5 linked regions of the Oryctolagus cuniculus genome follow. The protein of the gene in region 3 purifies or fractionates together with the protein of the main gene of each other region. This does not show direct contact. Links are inferred from orthologs where the notes say so. Each region holds a gene or a part of one and is shown on either strand. Other genes may lie near its edges.

Evidence for each region. Proteins that work in one complex are often made in the same cells at the same time.
Region 1: the proteins of TNFAIP3 (region 3) and TNFRSF1A purify together in Homo sapiens (affinity purification with western blotting; 7 studies listed by BioGRID, with this or other methods). This does not show direct contact. The link is inferred for Oryctolagus cuniculus from reciprocal best matches to the Homo sapiens genes TNFAIP3 and TNFRSF1A.
Region 2: the proteins of TNFAIP3 (region 3) and RNF11 purify together in Homo sapiens (affinity purification with western blotting; 3 studies listed by BioGRID and IntAct, with this or other methods). This does not show direct contact. The link is inferred for Oryctolagus cuniculus from reciprocal best matches to the Homo sapiens genes TNFAIP3 and RNF11.
Region 4: the proteins of TNFAIP3 (region 3) and TNIP2 purify together in Homo sapiens (affinity purification with western blotting; 5 studies listed by BioGRID and IntAct, with this or other methods). This does not show direct contact. The link is inferred for Oryctolagus cuniculus from reciprocal best matches to the Homo sapiens genes TNFAIP3 and TNIP2.
Region 5: the proteins of TNFAIP3 (region 3) and MTOR purify together in Homo sapiens (affinity purification with western blotting, with the first as the bait; 3 studies listed by BioGRID). This does not show direct contact. The link is inferred for Oryctolagus cuniculus from reciprocal best matches to the Homo sapiens genes TNFAIP3 and MTOR.

What each region holds. Positions count from the first base shown.
Region 1 is NC_091440.1:103,146,486-103,150,977, forward strand, and holds the end of TNFRSF1A (tumor necrosis factor receptor superfamily member 1A), read left to right. Parts: intron 1-1,171; coding exon 1,172-1,245; intron 1,246-1,347; coding exon 1,348-1,464; intron 1,465-1,769; coding exon 1,770-1,798; intron 1,799-1,992; coding exon 1,993-2,302; intron 2,303-2,395; coding exon 2,396-2,703; 3' UTR 2,704-3,485; downstream 3,486-4,492. Other genes in the region: PLEKHG6 (pleckstrin homology domain-containing family G member 6), read right to left, coding at 3,818-3,827, 3,938-4,492.
Region 2 is NC_091438.1:121,666,054-121,671,170, reverse strand, and holds the end of RNF11 (RING finger protein 11), read left to right. Parts: intron 1-370; coding exon 371-540; intron 541-2,174; coding exon 2,175-2,346; 3' UTR 2,347-4,110; downstream 4,111-5,117. UniProt on the Homo sapiens protein: Essential component of a ubiquitin-editing protein complex, comprising also TNFAIP3, ITCH and TAX1BP1, that ensures the transient nature of inflammatory signaling pathways. Promotes the association of TNFAIP3 to RIPK1 after TNF stimulation.
Region 3 is NC_091436.1:30,968,553-30,973,636, reverse strand, and holds the start of TNFAIP3 (tumor necrosis factor alpha-induced protein 3), read left to right. Parts: upstream 1-1,639; 5' UTR 1,640-1,777; exon of another isoform or gene 1,778-1,923; intron 1,924-5,084. UniProt on the Homo sapiens protein: Ubiquitin-editing enzyme that contains both ubiquitin ligase and deubiquitinase activities.
Region 4 is NC_091433.1:1,475,564-1,479,131, reverse strand, and holds part of TNIP2 (TNFAIP3-interacting protein 2), read left to right. Parts: intron 1-1,273; coding exon 1,274-1,363; intron 1,364-2,056; coding exon 2,057-2,305; intron 2,306-2,579; coding exon 2,580-2,711; intron 2,712-3,568. UniProt on the Homo sapiens protein: Inhibits NF-kappa-B activation by blocking the interaction of RIPK1 with its downstream effector NEMO/IKBKG.
Region 5 is NC_091438.1:157,068,015-157,072,586, forward strand, and holds part of MTOR (serine/threonine-protein kinase mTOR), read left to right. Parts: coding exon 1-140; intron 141-1,007; coding exon 1,008-1,116; intron 1,117-1,801; coding exon 1,802-2,034; intron 2,035-2,671; coding exon 2,672-2,872; intron 2,873-3,525; coding exon 3,526-3,660; intron 3,661-4,572. UniProt on the Homo sapiens protein: Serine/threonine protein kinase which is a central regulator of cellular metabolism, growth and survival in response to hormones, growth factors, nutrients, energy and stress signals.

The DNA.
Region 1 (4,492 bases), on a different chromosome or scaffold from region 3:
TTAAGATTGATTTATTTGAAAGGCAAAGTGACAGAAGGAGAGACAGAGACACTCTTCCATCCACTGGTTCGCTCCCTAAATGCCCACAACAGCCAGGACTGGGCCAGGCCAAAGCCAGGAATTCCATCCGGGTCTCCCATGTTCCCACGTGGGTGGCAGGAACCCAGACACGTAGGCTACCTTCACTGCCTCCCCGGCGCACTTAAAAGGAAGCTGGATGGGAAGTGGAGACGAGGACTCAGTCCAAGCATCTGACACAAGATGCGGTGTCCCAAGTGAAGGCCTAACTTGCTGTTCGGTGCCCGCCCCTCTGACGATCCCTTCCGATTCTAAAATGTATCATCTTCTGTGACGGTTTCTTTGGCATCAGTTCCCAGGACAGGTTAAGCCTCATTATATCAAGAGATAGCAAAGATGTTTGTGAGGCAAAGATACAATCTCTATGTGTGTCTGTGTGTCTCTTTGTTTTTAGTTTGTGTGATTTATGTGATTCGGTGTGTCCTGTGTGTGTATCTCTGTGTGTCTGTGTATCTCAGTGTTTTGTATATGTGTGTGTTTTGTGTATCGGCGTGTATACCTGTGTGTCTGTGTTTTGTTTGTGTATCTCTGTGTCTGTGTGTTTTGAGTATGTGTTTTGTGTGTGTCTGCTGTGTATCTGTGTGTCCGTGTTTTTGTTTGTGTATCTGTCTGTTTTGTGTCTCTGTGTTTTGCCTGTGTCTGTGCTGTGTATCTGTGTGTCTGTGTATCGCTGTATTTTGTGTATGTGTGTGTTTTGTGTGTGTATCTGTGCGTATCTCTGTGTGTCTGTGTTTGGGGTATCTGTGTCTGTGTTTTGTGTATCTCTGTGACTGTTTTGTGTATTGTGTTTTGCGTGTGTCCGTGCTGTGTACCTCTGTCTGTGTTTTGTTTGTGTATCTCTGTGTGTTTTGTGTATCTGTGTTTTGCGTGTGTCCGTGTTGTGTGTGTGTGTGTGTTTTGTTTGTGTATCTCTGTGTGTTTTGTGTAGCTGTGTTTTGCGTGTGTCCGTGCTGTGTATCTCTGTGTCTGTGTTTTGCTTGTGTATCTCTGTGTGTTTTGTGTATCTGTTTTGCGTGTGTCCGTGCTGTGTATCTGTGTGTGTGTGTTCTCCAGTGGCAGGGCCTCTGTTCACCATCGCCGTCTCCTCTTTCAGTTGTAAGGAGAACCCAGTGTGCATGAAACTGTGCCTGCCCCCGACCGGGAACGTCCAGGGCTCTCAGGACTCAGGTGAGGAGGAGCGCCCTCGCCCAGCTGCCCTCTACAGTCCTTGCCCCTCCCCCACCCACCCATCCCCCCACCCATCCCCTGACCATGAACTTCGCTCTGCAGGCGCCACAGTGCTGCTGCCCCTGGTGATCTTCTTTGGTCTGTGCCTGCTCTCCCTGCTCTTCACTGTTTTAATGTGCCACTACCAGCGGCGGTGGAAGCCCAAGTTCTACTCCATTGGTGAGGGGGCCCTTGGCAGGGGACAGGGCGCTGGGGAGCCTGTGGGAGGAGGCTGGGTGGCTCAGACACGCAAGCGTGGGGGGTGCGAGGAGGAGGGTCCCCCATCTCACTGCCCAGGACTCTGTGGGTGGAGGGGGGCCCTGAGTGGCTAGGGGGAGGTCACGCTCTGTCGCTAGTTCTCTTGTCCCTGGGGCCACATAAGCCGTGAGGCATGTCACCACAAGTCCCCACTGCCAACCCCAGGACGGGGCGCCAGGCCTGAGAAGAGGGGAAGTGAAATTTATACTCTGTTTCTTTTTTCTCAGTTTGTGGGAAAGCGACACCTGTCAAAGAGGTGAGATGAAACCAGAGACCTGCCCCCCAAATTTCCCTGACTGCTCCTTATCATTGTAACACCCCGATCACCTGGGATCACCCTTGCTCCCACTCGGGGGCTCCCCTAATTCCCTCCAGCCCCAACCCCCAACCAGAATGAGGGCTGAGGCTGCCTTCCCCTCCCCCACTAACGCTGTGCCCACTCTCTTTCAGGGGGAGCTTGAAGGTCTTCCTGCCAAACCCCTCGCCCCTGCCCCAGGAGTCTGCCCGCCTCCAGGCTTCAGCCCCATCCCCGGCTTCAGCCCCGACCTGGGCATCTGTACCAACTCCACTTCCACCTTTCCCCGTGAGGACTGGCCCAGCTTCAGGGCTATGCCGCCCTCCAGAGGGGTGGCCCTGGCCTACCGGGAGGCTGAGCCCGTCCACACCACGGCCCTGGCCTCCACACCCATCCTCACCCCGCTTCAGAAGTGGGAGGACTGCAGCGCCCCCGCGGCGGTGGCCCCGCAGCAGCGCCCCGACAGTGAGTTCCTCGCGGGGTCGGGCGCGGCTCCGGGAGGCAGCAGGGCCGGGTGGAGGGCGGCCGCAGAAGGCTCAACGCCCCGCGTCCCCACAGCCGACCCCGTGACGCTGTATGCCGTGGTGGACGGCGTGCCCCCATCTCGCTGGCGGGAGTTTGTGCGGCGCCTGGGGCTCCGCGAGCACGAGATAGAGCGGCTGGAGCTGCAGAACGGGCGCTGCCTGCGCGAGGCCCAGTACAGCATGCTGGCGGCCTGGCGGCAGCGCACGCCGCGCCACGAAGCCACGCTGGACCTGCTGGGCAGCGTGCTCCGCGACATGGACCTGCTCGGCTGCCTGGAGGACATCGAGGCGGTGCTGGGCGGCCCCGCCTCCCAGCCGTCGGAGGCCCGCCTTCCGCGGTGAGGCCACGCCCCTCTGGGGGGCGCTGCGTGCCCCGCCCTGAGGCCACGCCCTCTCCGAAGGACGCTGAGTGCCCCGCTCTGTGAGGCCACGCCTCGGCTGCCTGGAGGACGTCGAGGAGGCGCGGCATGGCCCGCTTCCCCCTCCTGTCGCTCCGCCTTGCCTGATGGAGCCACGCCCCCGGCTGCCAGGAGGACTTCGAGGAGGCGAGGCGTGGCCCCGCCTCCCCCTTCGCTCCGCCTCACCCGGTGGAGCCACGCCCCTGGCTGCCTGGAGGCCGTCGGAGGCGCTGTGTGTCCCTCCTCCTGGTCCCCGTCCCCGCCTCGGAGGAGGAGCCTACCCTGGGAGATGCCCTCTGGGCCTTTTCTTCTGGAGCGGATCCTGGAGGGGCAGGCGTGAACTAGCAGCCACTTACTTGGTGCTACCCGTTCCGTGCACACACACAGCGTTTCAAACTCAGCTGCCGGAGCACCGCCCAGCTGTGCCCGCTTGAGTGCTCCCGAGGCTGAGCGTGCCCGGGGCCCGAGTGGGTGGTTGTGGACTACAGGACGTGGAGGGCCCAGCAGAGCTGCTCCGGCCCCTGGTAGGTCCGGGGACCTCTCTCGCAGCAGATAAGCATGTTTATATCAGTTGTGTCACACTAATAGAACCCTGGCGCCCCTCTGCCCCTTGCCCGGACGCGTCCTGGGGCAGGGGCCAAGGGCAGAACAGTGAGCCCTCCAGCCGGAGCGGCAGGCTTTTGTAAATTCACTAAAACCCAGAAATTAAAGCTCCACTCCCACGGGGATGGTCTGTCTCTGTGGGCATCTGCACCCTGAGGGGTGGGGTGGGGAAAGTCCCAACCCAGGGCCAGAGGGCCCACCAGTCGCGCGGTGACAGCACCCCCCCACACACACCCCCATCTTCCCAGGCTCAAGCAATGCCACCCACGCAGCCGTTTTTATGCACAACTTTAGGGGGGGCGCAGGGGTGTCTGTGGTACATAAATCTACAGTTCCTGATGGCCAGATGGCCAGAGTCCTCGCAGCAGAAGGCAGGTGCCGGGAAGTGTGGTCCTTGAGGTAGTGTGGGGGCAGGGGTGACCAGCACTCTCCGGGAGAGCCTTCCTCCCCGATGCTCACACCTCTCTGAAAAGAAAGGAGGTGGCCAGTAGGCGAGGGTCCAGGGGTGTGGAAGAGGCCCCGCCCCCCGTCTGTCCCCCCCGCCCCCCCCCCGCCAGCTCCCCTTCAGCACTTACGAAGTGGACAAGGGCGTGTCCAACTGTATGACTTGCGGACCCCGCATCCTCTGCAGCTGGGCGCGGGTCAGCTTCCGAGGCTTGCCGTCCCCGGGCTCTGTAGCTCCCTCGATCCTTTGCGTGGCCAGTTCCTCCCGGATCTGTCGGAGCATGTCCTCAGCGCTGAGTGGCCGGACGCACGGCCTGCGGGCTGGCCCAGAGAACGGAGGCCCCTCTTCTTCCTCGTCGGCAGAGGACTCCCAGGGGCTTTCCCCGGCCGAGTCCGTGTGGGAAGGGGAGGGGCAGAGCTGGCCACGAAGCCGGGCCCTGTGCAGGGTTTCCGCCACCACGTTCTCGCCCACCGAGACCCCATTTTCCTCCTGCGACCAGGGGCGCGGGTCCGTCCCCGGATGGCTGACTCCTGTTTGGATGTCTTCCGGCAGCTCGGGGGCGCTTCGGCGTTGAGCAGCTTTGGGGTCAGGCGGCTGGGGCCGCAGGGGAACATCTCTGAGTTCCAGGGTGGAGAAGGTGAGGCGGGGATCTCGTCGGAAGGCCCTGGAGCGCAGGCGGTTGAGC
Region 2 (5,117 bases), on a different chromosome or scaffold from region 3:
CAGTCTGGTTCATTAATTGCTTGACAGATCTGTTTATATTGATTTATCTGTTGGTGTATTCAGAATGAGCATATCTGGGTAAATTCTTCATGTGGAACTAGTTAAATTAACATTCCATGCAAGTTTTTAAGTGTTGCTTGTTTTTAGATCCTTTAAAAGTAGGTCACATATCTAAATGTGAATTTTTTATGTATTTTTTGTTCTAGAAGTCAATATTAAGACACAATCTGCACAGTAGACCAGCTTGCTATCTCTCCCAGGACCCCTTCTGCTTGCCATATGTAGCCTCCTACCCCCATTAAAAAGGAAAAGCATGATCTCTAGAAATTTTCTTAAAAAATAATCATTTTCTCCATTTTTAAAAATTTAGGAACAAGTTCCTGTTCCAGTCTATCATCCAACACCCAGCCAGACTCGGCTAGCAACTCAGCTGACTGAAGAGGAACAAATTAGGATAGCTCAAAGAATAGGCCTTATACAGCATCTGCCTAAAGGAGTTTATGACCCTGGAAGAGATGGATCAGAGAAAAAGATCCGGGAGTAAGTTTTTAATAAATTTATACTTTTCCTCATGTACTTTGGAAGTCAGACATGCAAGAGAATGCTTAAATGTAGCAATTAAAAGGATTTTCATATCAAAATAGCTAGAAAATGATGGCATGAGTTCTGACCATTTATACTCATGCTGCCTATCCACTGGATTACAGTTGATAATTAGTCATTCAACCATGTGAATGTGAACTGAGACCCAGTATACAGATATTCCCATAGTTTGAGACAGGTTCTGTACCCAGTAAAACAGAGTCCTAGGGCTGTGTTTCCAGAGGTGTACCTCACTCCTCTCACTAAAGCTTTATGGACAAGGCCGGCGCCGCGGCTCACTAGGCTAATCCTCCGCCTAGCGGCGCCGGCACACCGGGTTCTAGTCCCGGTCGGGGCGCCGGATTCTGTCCCGGTTGCCCCTCTTCCAGGCCAGCTCTCTGCTGTGGCCAGGGAGTGCAGTGGAGGATGGCCCAAGTGCTTGGGCCCTGCACCCCATGGGAGACCAGGATAAGTACCTGGCTCCTGGCTCCTGCCATCGGATCAGCGCGGTGCACCGGCCGCAGCGCGCTGGCCGCGGCGGCCATTGGAGGGTGAACCAACGGCAAAGGAAGACCTTTCTGTCTGTCTCTCTCTCTCACTGTCCACTCTGCCTGTTAAAAAAAAAAAAAAAAAAAAAAAAAAAAAAGCTTTATGGACAAAATACTCAGTGGAGATAGTCTTATTTAGGCAAAAAAAATTATGCAAGCTGCATTCATGTTTAGGACTTCAGTAATTTGTAGTATTGGAATTCTTCAGTAAGTTATGCAACCATTAAACTTGTTTCTTAAGGGTTTTTAGTGATAGGAGAAGTCCTGTCTATTTCTAAACTTGTGAAATTTATTAAGCCTGATAAATTGAAGATGAAATTTTACTTATGTGGAATTTTTGTTCCCAGGGCATATATTATCTATGAGGTTTCCAATGAGAACAGCTGTTCTTTTAGGTTGCAAATGGCCTCACCAAAATAGACACGTTGTGATTTACTTTGTTGTAGTTTGACTGTTTGAAGTTCACAGCACTATTTAGCACTAATACTTAACAGCATTGACACTTAAGAGTCTAAACACTGATGAAACACTGCAGAATGGGTTGCTTCTTGAGCCTGAAGAAACCGAGTTAATGAAGAGAGCTTTAATGTAGAGCAGCCCCAATAAGTAGGCTGAAATTAGTGCTTCTGTTTTTACATGTCATTATTAAAATGAGAATTATATTAGTCTGGGATTACACTAAAAACTCAGCACAAAGAACAGGGTTGATAAAATGATGATTGCCTACCTAAAGATGCTTTCAGGTATCTCCCAATGTGGAGCTGTTTTATAAGCTAGCAGTGGATTGATCCCCAGTGTGACACTTTTTTTTTTTTTTTTTCTCTGTTGATTGCTCTTAAGTCTTGCAAATTCCCAGGGAGTTGGAATAAGACAATATGTGTGAATCAGCACTCACTAGGAAAAGTTCCGTTTTGGTGATGACTGAAATGCCACTCTAATGTGTTGCTTGGATTAACACTGTCTTTGTAATGGGATTTTGAAGAAAATTCTGAGTGGGCCACTTCTCTAAAAATGCCTTCTGATTTCTCTCCCCGCCCCCAACAGGTGTGTGATCTGTATGATGGACTTTGTTTATGGGGACCCAATTCGATTCCTGCCGTGCATGCACATCTACCACCTGGACTGTATAGATGACTGGCTGATGAGATCCTTCACGTGCCCCTCCTGCATGGAGCCAGTTGATGCAGCACTGCTTTCATCCTATGAGACTAATTGAGCCAGGGTCTCTCGTCTGACTTCAAGTGAACCATCATTTTGGTGGTTTTGATCTTTTGTCACTGAGCCCAAAGAGCCAGGAATTAGGAATTAAGATCATGCACAAAAGTTTCCTAGAAATTCCTGGATGGCTGCAGATGTTGGGGGAAAGTATGTGATATTTTAGAAATTAGGGGGGAAAGTAGGATGGTATTTTTATGTAAAGCCTTGACCCAGTGTTTAAAAATATAATTGTATTTAGATCTTGTAATTGCTCCAGTACATAGGAATTGTGTAAAGTGTTACAGCAGCTGTATATGTTTAAATTGTGTGTGTTGAAGATTAGGAAAAAGATAGTGGTTATTTTTCCTAAATGAAATAACGTTCTCCCCACCCACCCACCCAACTCAAATTCTTTTCTGAAGTTGCTGGCATTTGGGTCAAGGTTTTATTAAAAGCTACATTTTATAACACTGGCACAAAAAAAAAAAGTAGTTTTAAGCTTGTTTGCACAGTTCTTTTTTTCCATTGGAAATGGAATTCATTGCCTTAGGTCTTTTTAAATAGTGTATTATTATCGTTGGGGCTGGCTCTATGCTTGAAAACCAGTTTATTTATAACCTGTTATAAGTGCTATATTCTGTTTGCAGTTAGGAAATGCAGAATTCAAAGTGGTCTCCTAGCTTGTAAGCAAACTGAGATGCACTATCCCTTTTCTATATGTATTTAAAAAAACTGAGTTAATGGTGTCAAGAAATAAATTCTAGCAAAGTGGGGTTTAATATTACCATTTCCTATGTGTTTTATCTAATTCTTTCAGTTGTTAATATGGTGATAATTGAAAGTTAAGGTAAATTTTAAATATTAAGAGTTTTGATTTATTGAATTATGCCACCAGTGCTTATGTAAAAATAAGTGTAGCACCATGGTGAAACTTAAATGAGAAGTAGTTTCTCAGCTGTAACACTTTTGATTTATTCTCTTTCCTGTGACCTCCTTCCCTGTTGTCTTGAACCATAGCAAAAGGATACTGCATCTCTCATCACTGTAGTGCTGAGGTTATTGAAGTTCTATAAAACACATCTCAGTCTTTGTTCTTGGGAAGATACTTGTTAAGTCCTGCTAGCTAGCTGACGAGACAAAGCAGGGAGAACCAAGATAAATGTGTTTCATGTTTGCACACAAATGCAGAATTTGTATAACCACCCGACTTCATGGTTGTAATCTCAAAAAAGAAGGAATTTCTTCTTTATCTTTTTCTTGCAGTTAATGTAAGAATAAATCTCTAAGCTTCTGAAGTGTTAGAGGTAGGGATGGTCTGGTAATGATGTAGTAGTAATGTTTCATTTAGCATGTGTTTGTTTTTCCTTATGTACTCAAAGGTGACTTATTTGTTCAACTCAGTGATACTACAGCTAGCTAAAAATCGTTCATTAGCAAAAGGAGAAGCTGTCTCAACGAAGAACTTGCTAGTTTATATTGAGTTGAATTTTGACTCAAACAGTTCTGTACATTCAGAAGATGAGTATCTTGAAGGTTCTTTATAATTACATTATAGGGGACTTCAGTATGGTATAAGTACTTTGCAGATTGAACATTCAACTGTAGTATCCATATGTTAGTTAATTTCTTGTGAGCCCCATGATGGAAAGACTTAAAGATGAATTTGAGAAAGAGTGAATGAAATTAGATTATCAGGTTCTGTTAAATTGTTACATGTATCTTGCTTAAATTTCTGTTCATTAATTTATATCCACCCAATTACATAAAGCAAATTTTGAAGAAACCCCTGAAGTTGTGCAATATTTTCAGTGACAATTTTTTATTATGTTTTCTACTTAAACATGTCTGTGTCATCAAGTATTATAGTCAGATTTTCTTTTTTTCTAGATTAAAGTTGGTAAATGAACTTTTTTTAAAATCATCTTCCATGTTACAGTTAGTCTTTCTTTATTACAAGGCTTCCTTCACAGAAGTTTGGTAATAATGAAGGAACCAGTATTGAGTGGGATAATTCGTTTTTAAGAATTTTGTATTTAACTTTGTTCTTCACATTGATGTTAAGAATCATCAGTTTTGGTTTTTACTAAGTTGTTAAATAAACTTACAGTACAGCTATAAAGGGCTCAAGTTAGAGTTAATTACATAAGAATATTCTAGATATCTAACCCTTTAAAAGTTATGTATAAATTTAATTATTCAAATTACTTTTAAATGTACATACACTCATACACATGGTGTATACATTTGTATACTTCAAGGAATTTTTTAAAAGTTTACTTCAGAGAAAGGGAGAAAAAGTGAGTGAGCTCCCTTTTACTGGTCCACTCCCTAAATGACCACAAAGGACCGCTGGGGCTGGACCAAAACCAGGAACCAGGAACTCTATCCAGGTCTCCCACGTGGGTGGCAGGAGCCCAATTACTTGAGCCCTCCCTGCTGCCTCCCAGGATCTGCATTAGCAGGAAGCTGGAGTTAAGAGCCAGAGACCAGTATGGAACCCAAGCACCTTGATTCCAGGGCACCGGGGTCCTGAGGTCCTAATCACTAGTGTAAATACCTACCCCCTGGGAAGTTTTGTTTTAAAGTGTTTTTTATTGGTTGGCATTTTGCATCATTGAAGCATATACTTAGACTTGATAGTTTTAATGTTGCTGAAGTCCGGTGATAGGAATAACCTTATTTAGATACAGGCATGATGTGTTTAGGCTCGGCTTCGGGATTTCAAATGTCTCAAAACATTTCAGGAAAAATTAAAACAGTCATTTTAAATGCAAAACTCAACAAGTTCAA
Region 3 (5,084 bases):
CTGCCCAGGGCCCATGTTTGCCTGCGTGGTGTGTTTGTGAAGCTGGGGGCCAGAATACCGACAGGGCCCCTGAGACTCTAGAGAGTGGTCTCGAGTCAGGATTTACCAGTCTGCCCTTGGCTAAGAAGGACCTAGTTCCAGCGGCGACTCTGCCACTTAACCCCTTGCGCAGAGTCCAAATGGCCTCAGTATCTTCAGTTTCATATAAAAGTAGCAGGTGCATATTCAGTAAATGTCATTTTACACATGTCATTTGGCGACTCTTAGCTGAGTGTTGGTAGCTGAAGACATTTGTGAATGAGGACTAAATGATCCCAGGAGATGTGGAGTTGGGAGAAATTCTAGCCATCAGTTTGAAAAGACTAGAACTAGGGGCGATGTGCGACCCAGTGGCTAAGCCACACTAGGATGCCCACACCCTGCATCCGAGGGTCTGGCTCCAGTTCTGACTCCTCTGCTTTCCATCCAGCTTCCTGCTCATGCACACTGTGACAGGCAGCAGGTGTAGCTCAAGTGCGTGGAACCCTGCCACCCACACGGGAAGCATGGATTGAGTTCAGGGGTTCAGGCTTCAGCCTGGCGCAGTCCTGGCTATTGAAAGCATTTAAGGAATGGACCAGCAGAAGGAAATGCACTCTCGCTCTCTTTCTCTCTGGGTCTAGTTTAGCCATTGCAGGAACTGAACCAAGGGGCACTGGGGGCACCCCAACTCCCCAGCCCTCACCCACCTGCCACGGCCCAGGCACCTCCAATGGCCCAGGAGGCGCACCTAACTTCCAGGTGACGCAGGGTGCCAGGGAAACCTGCAGGGCCGCGGTTACATGGGAATAGCGGGAGGCGGCCGGGAGGAATAGCAAGGACGCTTGGCCGTAGACCTTGGGGTAAGTAATTGTCAGGACGTCTAGGAGCGCACCGAATAAAGCCAGGGCGAGAACGCCCGTGGGCGCAGGTGATTTCTGAACGGAAGTGCTCTTTGAATGCCGGGGCCTAGCGAGGGCGGGGTCAGGGGCTTGTCTGACTCAGTTTACCCAAGACCGGCCTTGCTCCCCCCACCCCCGCCTCCAACGCGCCGCCAGGACGATCCAGAGGGCTCGGGGGTCAAGGGCAGGGCCTGCTTCTTTTTCTTGAAATTCCCGCCCGGGCTCTGGCCAGGACTCTCCCCTCGCAGCTCATCACGTGCGCAGCCCGAACTGTGCAAACCCAGCCCGGGGCCCGGGTGGTTTTTCGGGTTTTCTTGCTTTCTTATTTCCCTTCGTCTTCTCCACAGTGGATGATTTTCTGCAGAAAAACGGCTGCGAAAAAAAAAAAAGAACCGATTTCATTTCCAGTTCCCATCACCGCGATTTCCACATGGATGTGACGTCGCATCCCCGCTTCCGAAATGCCCAGGTGACTCACGCGGGGACACCCCGCGGGGCGGGGCGCAGGAGTTTCTGAGCCACGCCGGGGCGGGGCGGGGCCAGGCCGCCGGGGGCGGAGCGTCCGGGCGGAGCGTCCGGGCGGGGCGGGGCGGGAGCGGCGCGCGCCGCGGGCCTCCAGCGAGCGCCGCGTCCCCTGCCCCCTGGCGGCCGGCGCCGGCTCGGCCAGGCGGGCGGCGTCACGTGACTGGAAAGTCCCCGCGGAAATCCCCCCGGCTGTCGCGGTACAACTGAAAGGGTAGAAAGGAAACTGCGCAGTCTGCAGCCCTCGCAGCCGAGCGCCAGGACTTTGGAGTGCGCGGGGGCGGAGCGGCGAGCGCGGCCGCCAGAAGACATCACACACACCCCCACCCCGGCCGGTGAGCGAGCCCTAGCCCCGGCGTCCATGGGACGCCGCCTCGTGCCGACCCCCGCCCCGACCGCCACCTGCGGCGCGCGCCTGCGGTGACCGGCGCTTTGGGGAACTTGGGACTGACTCTGGGAGAGGATCGCGCCGCCCGGAGAGGTAACCCCCGCGCGCTGTGCACGGGCTCTCTGGGGCTGCGGGTGCGAGTCGGCCCGCCTCCCTGGCCTTGGCTCTTGCAGCGTCCCCCGGAGAGGAGTCTGTGGCTCTTGTGTACCCGTGCTGAGTTTTGGAGTGTTGGGCGCTGCGGTCGCCGCGCCAGATGTTGGGGTGACAGCCGGCTCTTGCTTTCCAGTAGTGCAGAGAACCTGAGCTGCAGGTGCCTGGCGCCCCTTGCTCGGGTGGTCGTTGATGCTTCGCCCGTTTCTTTGCCTCTTTTTTAGGGGAGAGGTGGAGGGGGTGGAATCAGGCACTGCATGTTCTCGGCCACGTAGGCTTTTGCAGAAGCTGTGCGGCTTCCTAGATTTTGCAAAACCAGCCAGTGGCGGTGGGATTGTCCAAGGGGCCAGCGCTCTCCCCCCGCCCCGGGGACAGCGTCCGGGCGCTCAGTGGGCTTTGCATCGGGGTGGGCTCGCGGCACGGGGTCCCGCTTTTCGGCTGCAGCGATGGAAGAGAAGTGTGCATGGAGAAGTGGCTGGCCGGCTTGCTTTCGGGAGTGGGGAGCGGGATGCACTCCGGGAGCGCCGTGCAGGTCCCCGCCGCACCACACTCGGTCTCTCTCTGTACAGCCTGGGTCGTCTCACATCCTGCCACCTGGCTTCTCAGGAAAGCAGTGGTATTAAGTAAAGAAGGAGCTCAGCTCTTTCGGAGCTGGCTTTGTTTGGAGTTCCCTCTGCTGAGCCTTCCTTGGAAAGCTGGTCTGCTCAGGTGTCACCGGGCGGCTTTTGGGGGGAAGCATGTTAATGAGAGCCTTCCGGACCCTAAACCTGCAACACCGGCTTGCTCAGCGGCCAGCCAGACAGACAGCCGTGTTGCTTTGACGTCTTGGAGATTCTTTGTACAATTTTTGACTTGTTGGAGCAGTGCCTCTCAACGGTGGAAGTATTTGTTGGTAAATCATTCATAAGTATCCGTATCGCAGACAAAAATGTTTGTCCAAAGACTTCGAGTGAGGAATGAGTGCAGTGAGTTCAAGAAGAATCTCATTGATCCTAGTGACCAAAAATAACGGGAGGGGAGGGATGATCTTTAAGTAAGACTCTGGGGTAACAGATGTAGGAATTACATGGGAAAGGTATTACTACATTTTTTTTGGCATGGAAGAGCATTATAAATGTATCAGATGAATGTATATTTTAATCTTAAATGTGGAGAAGCCCCAGAACTGGAAACTTGGGCAGTAGGTTTCTCTTTAAAGGAGTCAGACTTGGAGGCTGTGCACACCTGAATCCGTGAAGGAGGCCACGCTGGTTATGAAATACTGTCTTTACGTGTCTTGCATATGGTTTACAGCTCTCACTGGTTTAGATCCGTGCTGAATGATCCCAAGATCCAGACAACAGGAGAGTGAGAAAGGCAAAACAAGGCAGCCCCTCATTTGTTAGAACTCTCCCTACTGCCTGTCTGTGTTCATCCAGGAGTGCCAGGCCCTGTGGCCACAGGTGTGCTGCTGTGGGCATGGAGGGTGCAGGTGTCGGGAGACCCGGCTTCCAAGGCAGGACTCTTCCGGCATGGCTGTGGGGCCTGTGCAGGGCCTGTGACACTGTTGCCTTGGCTGCAGACCGAGGTGGTTGTATGAATTCAGAGAGGGGAGTAGAGCCTACTCCCCTTCTTGGCTTTTAGCTCCAGCCTCACCGTGGCGTTGGCCTTCAGTGGGTGACCAGACAGCCTTGTTGGCTGGGTTCATGGGTGGATGCATGGATGGATGGAAGAGCGGCATTGTGAAAGAGACCATGCTATGCCTCGAAGGAGACATGTGTGTCGTATTTCTGTCCCTTCCTTGTGTCTGCAGTCCCGTGGTGATTTTGCCCAATCCATCTGCTGGGAATGTTGGCTATCACAGAAGAGAGCACCATGCCACCCAGAGAGGGACTTCTCCCAGACCCCACCCAGCAGTCAGGAGAAGAATCCCAGTCCAGAATGACCACCAGAAAGCTCCTTGACAGCAGTCGGGCACCGTCTGCTTCCCACCCACCCTCCTTCTAGTGGGCCACAAGAATTCAGGCTGTCGGTGGCTTCCCCAAAATCTGGGTTTCTTCTCCCTTACACAAAGGTTTAGCATCTTCCTCAAGGGGAAAGTTGCCCTGACAAACCGTATGATGCAGGAGTGGGATTGACAACTGTTAGGAAACTTCCCAGGGATTTTTTTTTTATGCTCTGAAATTGTCTGCATCTTCTTGGAAATTCACCCTTCCCCGGGACTAGTGATTGAGAGCTGGCTCTCTGCACAGCTCCACCCTGGAGAGGTCCCATGGTCACTCACATCCTTCCGTGCTGTTGGCATGGGTTATTGATGCCAGCCTTTGCCCTTACTCCTCTTTGTCCCGAGTGGCCACCTTGTTGAAAGTTTCTTCCTTGCATGCATCCAGATTTTCATTTCTTCCACCAAGTGATGACGCGTGAAGATTTTAGGGTGCGAGGCGGGCTGGAAATGCATGCATATGAGTGTGGGTACCTACGTGGTGGTCATACACTCTGCTTGGCAGTGGCATTGAAACGATGGAGCTCCTATGTCTGTTGTCGGATGTGTAGAATTTCCTAGTCCGTTGTCATTCTTCGTGTCTTACTTGGATGTAGTTAAGCTCAATGGCCAGGTTCTGAAGGGATGTTCTTGAAAATAGCAAAGCTTCTTGTTGGACATAAGCTTCTTGGTTGGTTATAAAAATGTTTGGTTTTAACCGGTTATAAATATCATCATAAACTTCACAAATAAGCCCTCTGTGCTTCTTCTGGGCACTGGAGAGGAAACCCCAGTCAGCAGGCTAGGTGACAGCATGAAGCTGCCGGTTTCTCATAAGACGTTTACCATTCTCCCGGCGTAAGGAGGGAGTGCTTCAGAGAGAAGTCGAGACTTGCCCATGAGCAGAGATTACCCGGTGGTGGGCTTGGGGAGGTAGCCTCGGTCTCATCTTTCTCTGCTCCTGAGATGGAGCAGCTGTTCCCAGTGGCGTCCCCGCGGCACGGGAGCTGACATGGGTTTGTGGAGCAGGCCCTGGTGCTGATGCACACTTGGCTGCCTGGCAGACATTACTGAAAACATGGGTTATCCCCCTCCTCCTCGGCATCCACCCCCCCCCCGCACCCCCCCTTCTCTTGTTTAGACT
Region 4 (3,568 bases), on a different chromosome or scaffold from region 3:
TGGCCCCCAGCCTGAGGCTGACCCTGCTCCCAGCATGCACTAGGGGAGCCGGGTGGCCCCCAGCCTGAGGCTGACCCTGCTCCCAGCATGCACTAGGGGAGCCGGGTGGCCCCCAGCCTGAGGCTGACCCTGCTCCCAGCATGCAGTAGGAAGCAGGGTAGCCCCCAGCCTGAGGCTGACCCTGCTCCCAGCATGCACTAGGGGAGCCGGCTGCCCCCCCAGCCTGAGGCTGACCCTGCTCCCAGCATGCAATAGGGGAGCTGGCTGCCCCTCCATCCTGAGGCTGACCCTGCTCCCAGCATGCACTAGGGGAGCCGGGTGCCCCCCCAGCCTGAGGCTGACCCTGCTCCCAGCATGCACTAGGGGAGCCAGCTGCCCCCCCAGCCTGAGGCTGACCCTGCTCCCAGCATGCAGTAGGGGAGCCGGCTGCCCCCCCAGCCTGAGGCTGACCCTGCTCCCAGGTGCTGAGAGGGTACTCTGCTCACCCAGCAGTCGGGGGCCTGCTGAGCAGGGAGAGCCGAGACCCTGTGGCTAGGGCCTGGCCACGGCGTCTTCCTGCTGGCGGGTTGTGGGGACACGTGTGGGGCAGGCTGTTGGTGGGCCGGGCTGAGGCTGCGTGTCACCCCTGTGCCCAGCACAAGGCTCCTGGTCAGGCCCTTCGCGGGCAGTCGGGTGAGCGTGTACAAGGGCCGGGGCAGGCGGGCAGCTTCACTGACGAGCCCTTCAGGGAGAGACTTGGCCAAGGACCCCACCCCGTCTCCCGTGGAGAGCGAGCGGGGCTGTGTCTCAAGCCCAGAGGAGAGTGCAGGGAGAGGCGTGGTGCTCTCAGCTGAAGTCACCGTGTGGCTCCCTGAGCGGCCGCCCGTGCGGGTGGGGCCTCCGGCGGGCAGCCCCGTGCCCCTCACTTCTCGGCCTGCCGTGGCTGAGTCACCCGGGGCTTCCCGGCGCAGGCCGGCTCAGGACTTGCACTTCCTTCGTCACCGGAGGGGAATTCTCGGCGACAGCGTCCCTGACGGCCAGTCCCCGGCACGCGCGGTGCGCGGAGCTTCCGGGGGTCCAGACGGGTGTTTCCTGAGACTCGGTCTCCCAGCACGAGTTAGATGACCGCAGCGGACCTGAGTGGGAACAGGACAGCGTGGTGGGCTCCAGGAGGCGGCCGGGCCCATAGCTCTGGGGGACGCGGTGGTGATCATGGCCTCAACCCCGGGTCTGGCTCCGCCCCTTGCTGCGTGGGCCACGTGCCGTGACACGGTCTCCTCTGTGCTTTGTGCAGCCCACGTGTCCAGGCACGGACAGCTCCGTTCAGGCCGCCATGGAGAAGTTACGGGAGGAGAACCGACTGTTAAAACAGAAAGTGACTCATGTGAGTGTCTGCGTCTCCTGGAAGAACACGCACCCTGACCGAGTGCGACGAGGGTTCTTCCCCAGCCCGTGCCCAGTCGTTCCCCCACCGGCTGGCCACTGTGGCTTGGTGCACACGGCCCCAGCAGCCCAGCTTCCTGCCCGGGGGATGAGCAGGACGTGTCCTGAAAGGCAGAATTAGAGGGAGAGACAGAGAGAGAGAGAGAGAGCGAGAGCGAGAGCGAGAGCGAGCGCCTCCACTCACTGGTTCACGCCTCAGATGCCCACAGCAACTGAGGCTGAAGCCAGGGGCCTGGGACGCCCTCTGGGTCTCGCCCCTGGGTGCTGGGGCCCGGGCAAGCCGCCACGTCGCTCTGCTTTCCCAGGCCTGTGAGCAGGGGGCTGCTGGAAGTGGAGCAGCCGGGACGCGGACCGGTGCGCGTGGGGTGCTGTGTGGCAGTTGGGCGGGCTGTCCTGCCGCCCACGGTGCCCGTCTGATGGAAAGGAAGTCGAGGAGAGGCAGAGACTCTAAGGCAGGAAGGCGGCAGGGAGTCCACTTCTGTCCGAGAGCGAGGCTGCGGGTGCTGCTGCGGTGGGCTCAGCGTCCACTCCACGCGTGGGGAGAGGTCGGCGAGGTACTGCCGGCGCGCGGCGCCAGGTTCGGCCTTCGGGCTCCGCCGCCTTTGCCGTGAGCTTCCCGGCCGCGCCTCCCCAGGTGGAAGACCTCAACGCCAAGTGGCAGCGCTACGACGCCAGCAGGGACGAGTATGTGCGGGAGCTCCAGGCGCAGCTGCGGGAGCTGAAGGCCCCCCGGGAGCCGGAGCTGCTGAGGAAGGAGGTTTCCCGGCTCAACAGGCAGCTGGAAGAGGAAGTAGACGCGTGTGCGGACGCGAGGCAGCAGCTGGCCGCCGCCAGGACCGCCCAGGACGCTGCCCTGGAGCGGGTGCAGATACTGGAGCAGCAGGTCTGTCCCTGGGCTCTGGGCGGCACCCGCCGTCGTCTGCCTGCAGGTGGCGGCCAGCTCTCAGCACCGGCTGGGTGGTGTCGTGGGGGCGGGGGGGGGGGGAGCCCGGGGAAGCCAGCTCTCAGCACCGGCTGGGCGGTGGTTGTGGGGGCAGTGGGGGGAGCCCGGGGAGGCCAGCTCTCAGCACCGGCTGGGCGGTGTCGTGGGGGCGGGGGGAGCCCGGGGAGGGTCTTCCTTCTCACTGGAGCAGAACGAAGGTCCCGTGTCTCCCCAGATTCTCGCCTACAAGGATGACTTCAGGTCAGAAAGGGCCGACCGGGAGCGGGCTCAGAGCAGGATCCAGGAGCTGGAGGAGCGGCTGGCTTCCCTGCTGTGCCAGGGGTCTCGCCAGGGGTCTCGGAGACAGGTAGGGATGGGCGGCGTTCTTTTCCGCGTCATGGACTGAGCCCTTCCGTACCTTCAAGGCCCCGACCTGGCGGCCCCTTCCCGCCTTCCTGCGCTGTGCCACGTTTAGCTGTGAAGAGGTTGGCAGAGTGGCTGTTCTGGGCCTGCGCCGCCTCCCTGTGTGTCCCTGCCGTGTGACCAGAGAGCAGGATCCCTCCTGGCAGTGCCAGCCGTGCCCCGTCCTTGCTGCGAGACAGGGACCCAGTTACCTCGTCACATGGGGCTGGCACGGGCCTTGACAAGAGCCCTGTAGGGTCCTCAGCTCAGCCTGTGCCCGGCGTTGGTTTAGTGCAGTCCCCACCGTGAGAGGTGCCTGGAGAGGGGCCGGCGTAAGTCAGGACTGGCGAGGTCTCTGGCGGTGTGACCTGTGGTGCCGACCTGCCCGTCCACACTGCAGAAACCCCAGGGGAGGTTCGTTCCTTTGGCCACTTAGCGAGTTTCTGGTACAGCCCCGGCCTGGAGTAAACTTCCTGTGCTCACGTGGACTGGACCGCCTCTGGGAGGCGGCGCACCCGGGGCCGGAGCGCGGACGCGGAGCCCTCCCAGCTGGGTGTGTGGGGCCTCCAGCTCTGGTCTGTCCCGAGCAGCCCCTGGGCCTCATGGGTAGCTTCCGCTTCCCATCCCCCGTGCATGGGCGTAGGAGAGTCACGGTGGACACCCTTGGGCTGAGTCTTCGTCAGGGGCCATTTCTTCTGTGCATGACGGGGGGAGGGGTCGCGGCAGGGCCTGTGTTCCCCCCTGAGTCCACAGGTGACAGGGAGGTGCCAGAGGCTTTGCCGGCCCAGCCCTGGCGGCTTCCTTGGCATCGCTGGATGGAGC
Region 5 (4,572 bases), on a different chromosome or scaffold from region 3:
CTGCCGCCGCCGCCGCCGCCACCTCAAGCAACGTGAGCGTCCTGCAGCAGTTTGCCAGTGGCCTGAAGAGCCGGAATGAGGAGACCAGGGCCAAGGCTGCCAAGGAGCTCCAGCACTACGTCACCATGGAGCTCCGCGAGGTCAGCCTTCAGGGATCTGGCACCCGTCATCGTGGGGTGTTTGGGCCGGACGTGCCATCACTGGTGTATTTCACCTTTTACTTAGCCGGTTTTCATTTGATGTTGAAAGGTGAAGAGATAAATCTGTCCTCTGACTTGCTCCCCATAAGCCTGCGACAGCCAGGGCTGGGCCAGCCCAAAGCCAGGAGCCCAGAACTCTGTCCAGGTCTCCCACGTGGGTGGCAGGGGACCCACGTCCATGAACCACCACCTGCTGCCTCCCACGGTGCACGTTAGCAGGAAGCTGGCTCCAAAGCAGAGGTGCTGGGACTGGAACCAGTCACTTGGATGTGGGCTGTGGGTGTCCCTGTGAATGCCCACCCCAGCATCCCTGGCTTAGACTCCCTTGGACAGCTAAGTGAAGCTTGAAATGTGGATTCTGTTTTAGAAAAGCCCCCAGCTCCTCCCAACCCTAGAACAGGGTCCTCTCCCGGGGTTGCACGCTTCCTTGGCATTTCTTGTGTCTGTGGGCACGATCAGGGATCCACATAAGTTCAGCCTATCAGCTATTTCTGCCTGATAAAAGTGGGTTGGGATGGGTTGGAGAATTGATGGAGACCAGACTTACGGTCAGAGACAGCATCTGGTTCATCCTGTATCCTGACCCAGCAGGCACTCAGGAAGCAGTTACAGATAGAGGTGCATTGCAAGGTCAGTAGCTCTGTGGTTGAGAACTGCAAATGGGCAGAAGCTTGTCTTCCTGGTTTGAGCCACACCTGCTGCCTCTCTCGCCCCAATCCTCTCCGGCACCACCCGTCCCTCCCAACTCCCCCTCTACCCTCGGGGCAAGACACCTTAGAAATCCTTCTGGGCGCATCTTCCTTTCAGATGAGTCAGGAAGAGTCAACGCGGTTCTACGATCAGCTGAACCATCACATATTTGAACTGGTTTCCAGCTCCGATGCCAGTGAGAGGAAAGGGGGCATCTTGGCCATAGGTAAGGACTGAGTCTGGTGCTAGGAACAGCAAACAGGTAGGAATACAGGGCTGGTCACCTTTGTGTCCACCGGGCCCATGTCTGCCACTAGAAGTTCCATTCATGTTTGTGAATTTTCAGGAGCCGTGCGGCTTTCAGTGCCCTTACAGGGGTCCTGATTCTATGAGCAGTCCTAGGATGTAGACCGAGCAGGTGTTTTTAGAAGTGGAAGCTGAGTCCCAGAACCATTAAGCAACTCTTGTGGGGCCAGTGTGTCAGAGCTGGGACCGGAAGCCAGCTTTCTACTACCCCGTGTTGCCTGTGCAGGTGCTGGTTTCTCTGTAGGGCAGGGTTTGGCCTAGCAGGGCTTATGAATGGAGAAGTGAAATTTCGGTGCAGTTCATGAAAGACAGGTCGTCCTTCAGCTCCCAAGGACTGGTCTAGTCCTGTGAATTATGCAGTCCCGGGGGTGTGGGTTTTTCCCCTAATTTCTTGGGGAGACAAAGTATATATACTACAATAGTGCTGTTTTACTTGGTGTAAGTCATTATGACACGGATATCAAATCTTAGGGAAAATGAAAACTGCCCGCACCCTTACGACGTAGCCATGCGCTCAGGGCAGAGCGCGGTGTTGCTCGCCAGCCTTTAGTTGCGGCCTGGCCAGCGCGCTGTGCCTTGTCACCTTCTGCCACCTTCTCTTCCAGCCAGCCTCATCGGCGTGGAAGGTGGGAATGCCACCCGGATCGGCAGGTTTGCCAACTATCTTCGGAATCTCCTCCCCTCCAATGACCCGGTTGTCATGGAGATGGCATCCAAGGCCATTGGCCGCCTTGCCATGGCAGGGGACACTTTCACTGCCGAGTACGTGGAGTTCGAGGTGAAGCGAGCCCTGGAATGGCTGGGTGCTGACCGCAACGAGGGCCGGAGACACGCCGCTGTGAGTGCCCGCGGAACTGGGCGTGGGAACCGTGGCGTTATTTTAGGGTCCCCGGCTTCCTTCCAGGGTTCATCCCCAGAAGAGGCTGTTCTGGTGGGCCAGGATTGGACGCTGTTAGATGGGGTAGTGACTGCACAGGGGAGAGGACCTGGGAGTGGGCAGTGGGGATCAGAGGCCTCACTCAGATGCCTTCTAGTCCTCCCTCTTGAGGGACCGTGCTACAGGAGGGAGCCTGGGACCGGGAGAGGGACACACGTGGGGACCTGGCTCAAGTCTTGGCTTTGTCACCTCCTAACTCCGTAATCTGGCACAACCTCTGACCCTCAGTGTCTTCTTGTCAAATGAAAATCCTAAGATAAAACCTGAAACAAGTGTGCTTACGCAGTGACTGGGCCGGGCTGTCGGGGCAGTGGTACGAGAGCCTAGTGTGTGCCTTCCCGAGGCTCTGTCTTTGTCACAGCCTACGATAACGAACATGGAGGAGTCTGGTCCATTTGCTCTCCTGTTCTGCCCCCAGAATTCCCTGTCTGGAAGAGAGGGCCTGCCTTCCCTTGTCCAAGCAAGTGTGGTCCCGAGGGAGCAGAACTCTGGTGCGAATGGCAGTTCTCAGCTGCCCCCCTCCCCCCCTTTCTCCTAGGTCCTGGTTCTCCGTGAGCTGGCCATCAGCGTCCCCACCTTCTTCTTCCAGCAAGTGCAGCCCTTCTTCGACAACATTTTTGTGGCCGTGTGGGACCCCAAACAGGCCATCCGTGAGGGAGCCGTGGCCGCCCTCCGTGCCTGTCTCATCCTCACCACTCAGCGAGAGCCGAAGGAGATGCAGAAGCCGCAGTGGTACCGGGTGAGAGCCTGCAGTGCACGTTCACGCCGTCAGGCAGCTTCACGACCCTCAGCAGGAGTCGGTGGTTCCTCTGCTGCATTTCGTGAAAGCAGAGGCCCAGTGATAGATGCAGCATCATCTCGTGTGTCGCTAAGAATGAGAACATGCCGGTCAGGCCATGACTCAGTGCCTTCCGCACTCCAAGACATCTGTTCTGAGGTGTAAAAACATGCTTCCTTGCAGACTCGCCGGGAGATGGCTGGTAGGAGTTTAGAAAGGGCGGTGCCTTCTGCTCTGGTGTCCTGAGCTCTGTGCCGTCTGCTGCTGCCGAGGGGCTGTGAGCCTGCTAGTACCGCAGGCGCCCTGCGCGTAGGACGGGAGGCTGGCCTTCCAGGCTTGCCTGTACGTGTGACACTGCGCGGCTCACTCAGGGTCTTTGAGCCTGGGGGCGGGGTTTTTGTTTTGGCAGGTGATAATGATACGTATCTCAGTGGCATGTGAGGGCAGAAGAGCTGAAGCTAAATTAAACAAGCGCACGACCAGTCAGTGTTACGCTGGTCCACGGCGCCGAGCACGTGTGGGAACACCCCGGAACCCCAGCGAGGGCTGGTTGGGCCTGGCTTCTCTCCAGCTCTGGACGCTGGGTGAGCACAGGATTCTGTCCGTTTCTGCAGCACACGTTCGAAGAGGCAGAGAAGGGGTTTGATGAGACCCTGGCCAAGGAGAAGGGGATGAATCGGGATGACCGGATCCACGGAGCCTTGCTGATCCTCAACGAGCTGGTTCGGATCAGCAGCATGGAGGGCGAGGTGAGATGCGGCGGCCGGGCGGGCAGAGCAAGACCCTCGTCCGCACGGAGCGGGCACTTTTAGGAGGAAACAGGTGACAAGCAGGTAGACAGGACAACTTCAGACAGCAACGAGTCCTGGGAAGGAAACACAACAGGAAAGAGGATGGAGGTGAGGGGTGGGGTTGAGTGCAGTGGCTGGGCTCAGGCCCGATCTGGGAGGTCGGGCTCCAGCTGTGATCTTTCCTGTGGGAAATGCAGTGTCAGGGAAGGCCCTCTCTGAAGCAGAGCCATTGGAGTCCAGAGGCCGCAGGACATGCAGGAGCCCCTTGTAGCAGGCCAGGGGCTGCGTTCCAGGCAAAGGCTTTGAGGTGGGAGGAAAAGTTGGTCAAGTTTGAAAAATTGATGAAGCAGAAAGAAGGGGCGTGTGGCTGGTCCCTTACCACAAGAAGGAGAGAAGGTGGGAGGTGTGGTCAGGGAGGAAGGGGCTCGTGGTTCGTGGTCAGCACTGGCTCCTCTTCTAGTTACAGGGGCAGACATTGGCCGTGTGCACACAGGGTGGCGATGTGCGGTGTGACGCCATGCCTTTTCTAAGGTGTGGAGAGGCAGGAGTCAACGCAGGGAGACCAGATAGGAGGTGAATTAGCTTGAGGAGATGGGTATAAAGTACCAGGGTGAGGGTAGAAAGGACAGAGGTTTTATTAGTGAAATAGCCGGTAAGAAAATGGGAGGGGAGGTGGGAGAGCAGGAAGACCACATTCTACCTCTGACCCTAACTGGACAAGAGGTGGGAGAGAAACTGGGTGGAGTCTACTGTGCAAGGCCTCCGTGAGATCCTCAAGCCAGCATCAGCTGTTGAAGGCCTGGTCTCCCAAGAACAGGCCTCCCTTGGCATCCCTACCGTGTCCTGTCATCTGCCAGGAGCAGCCGACGG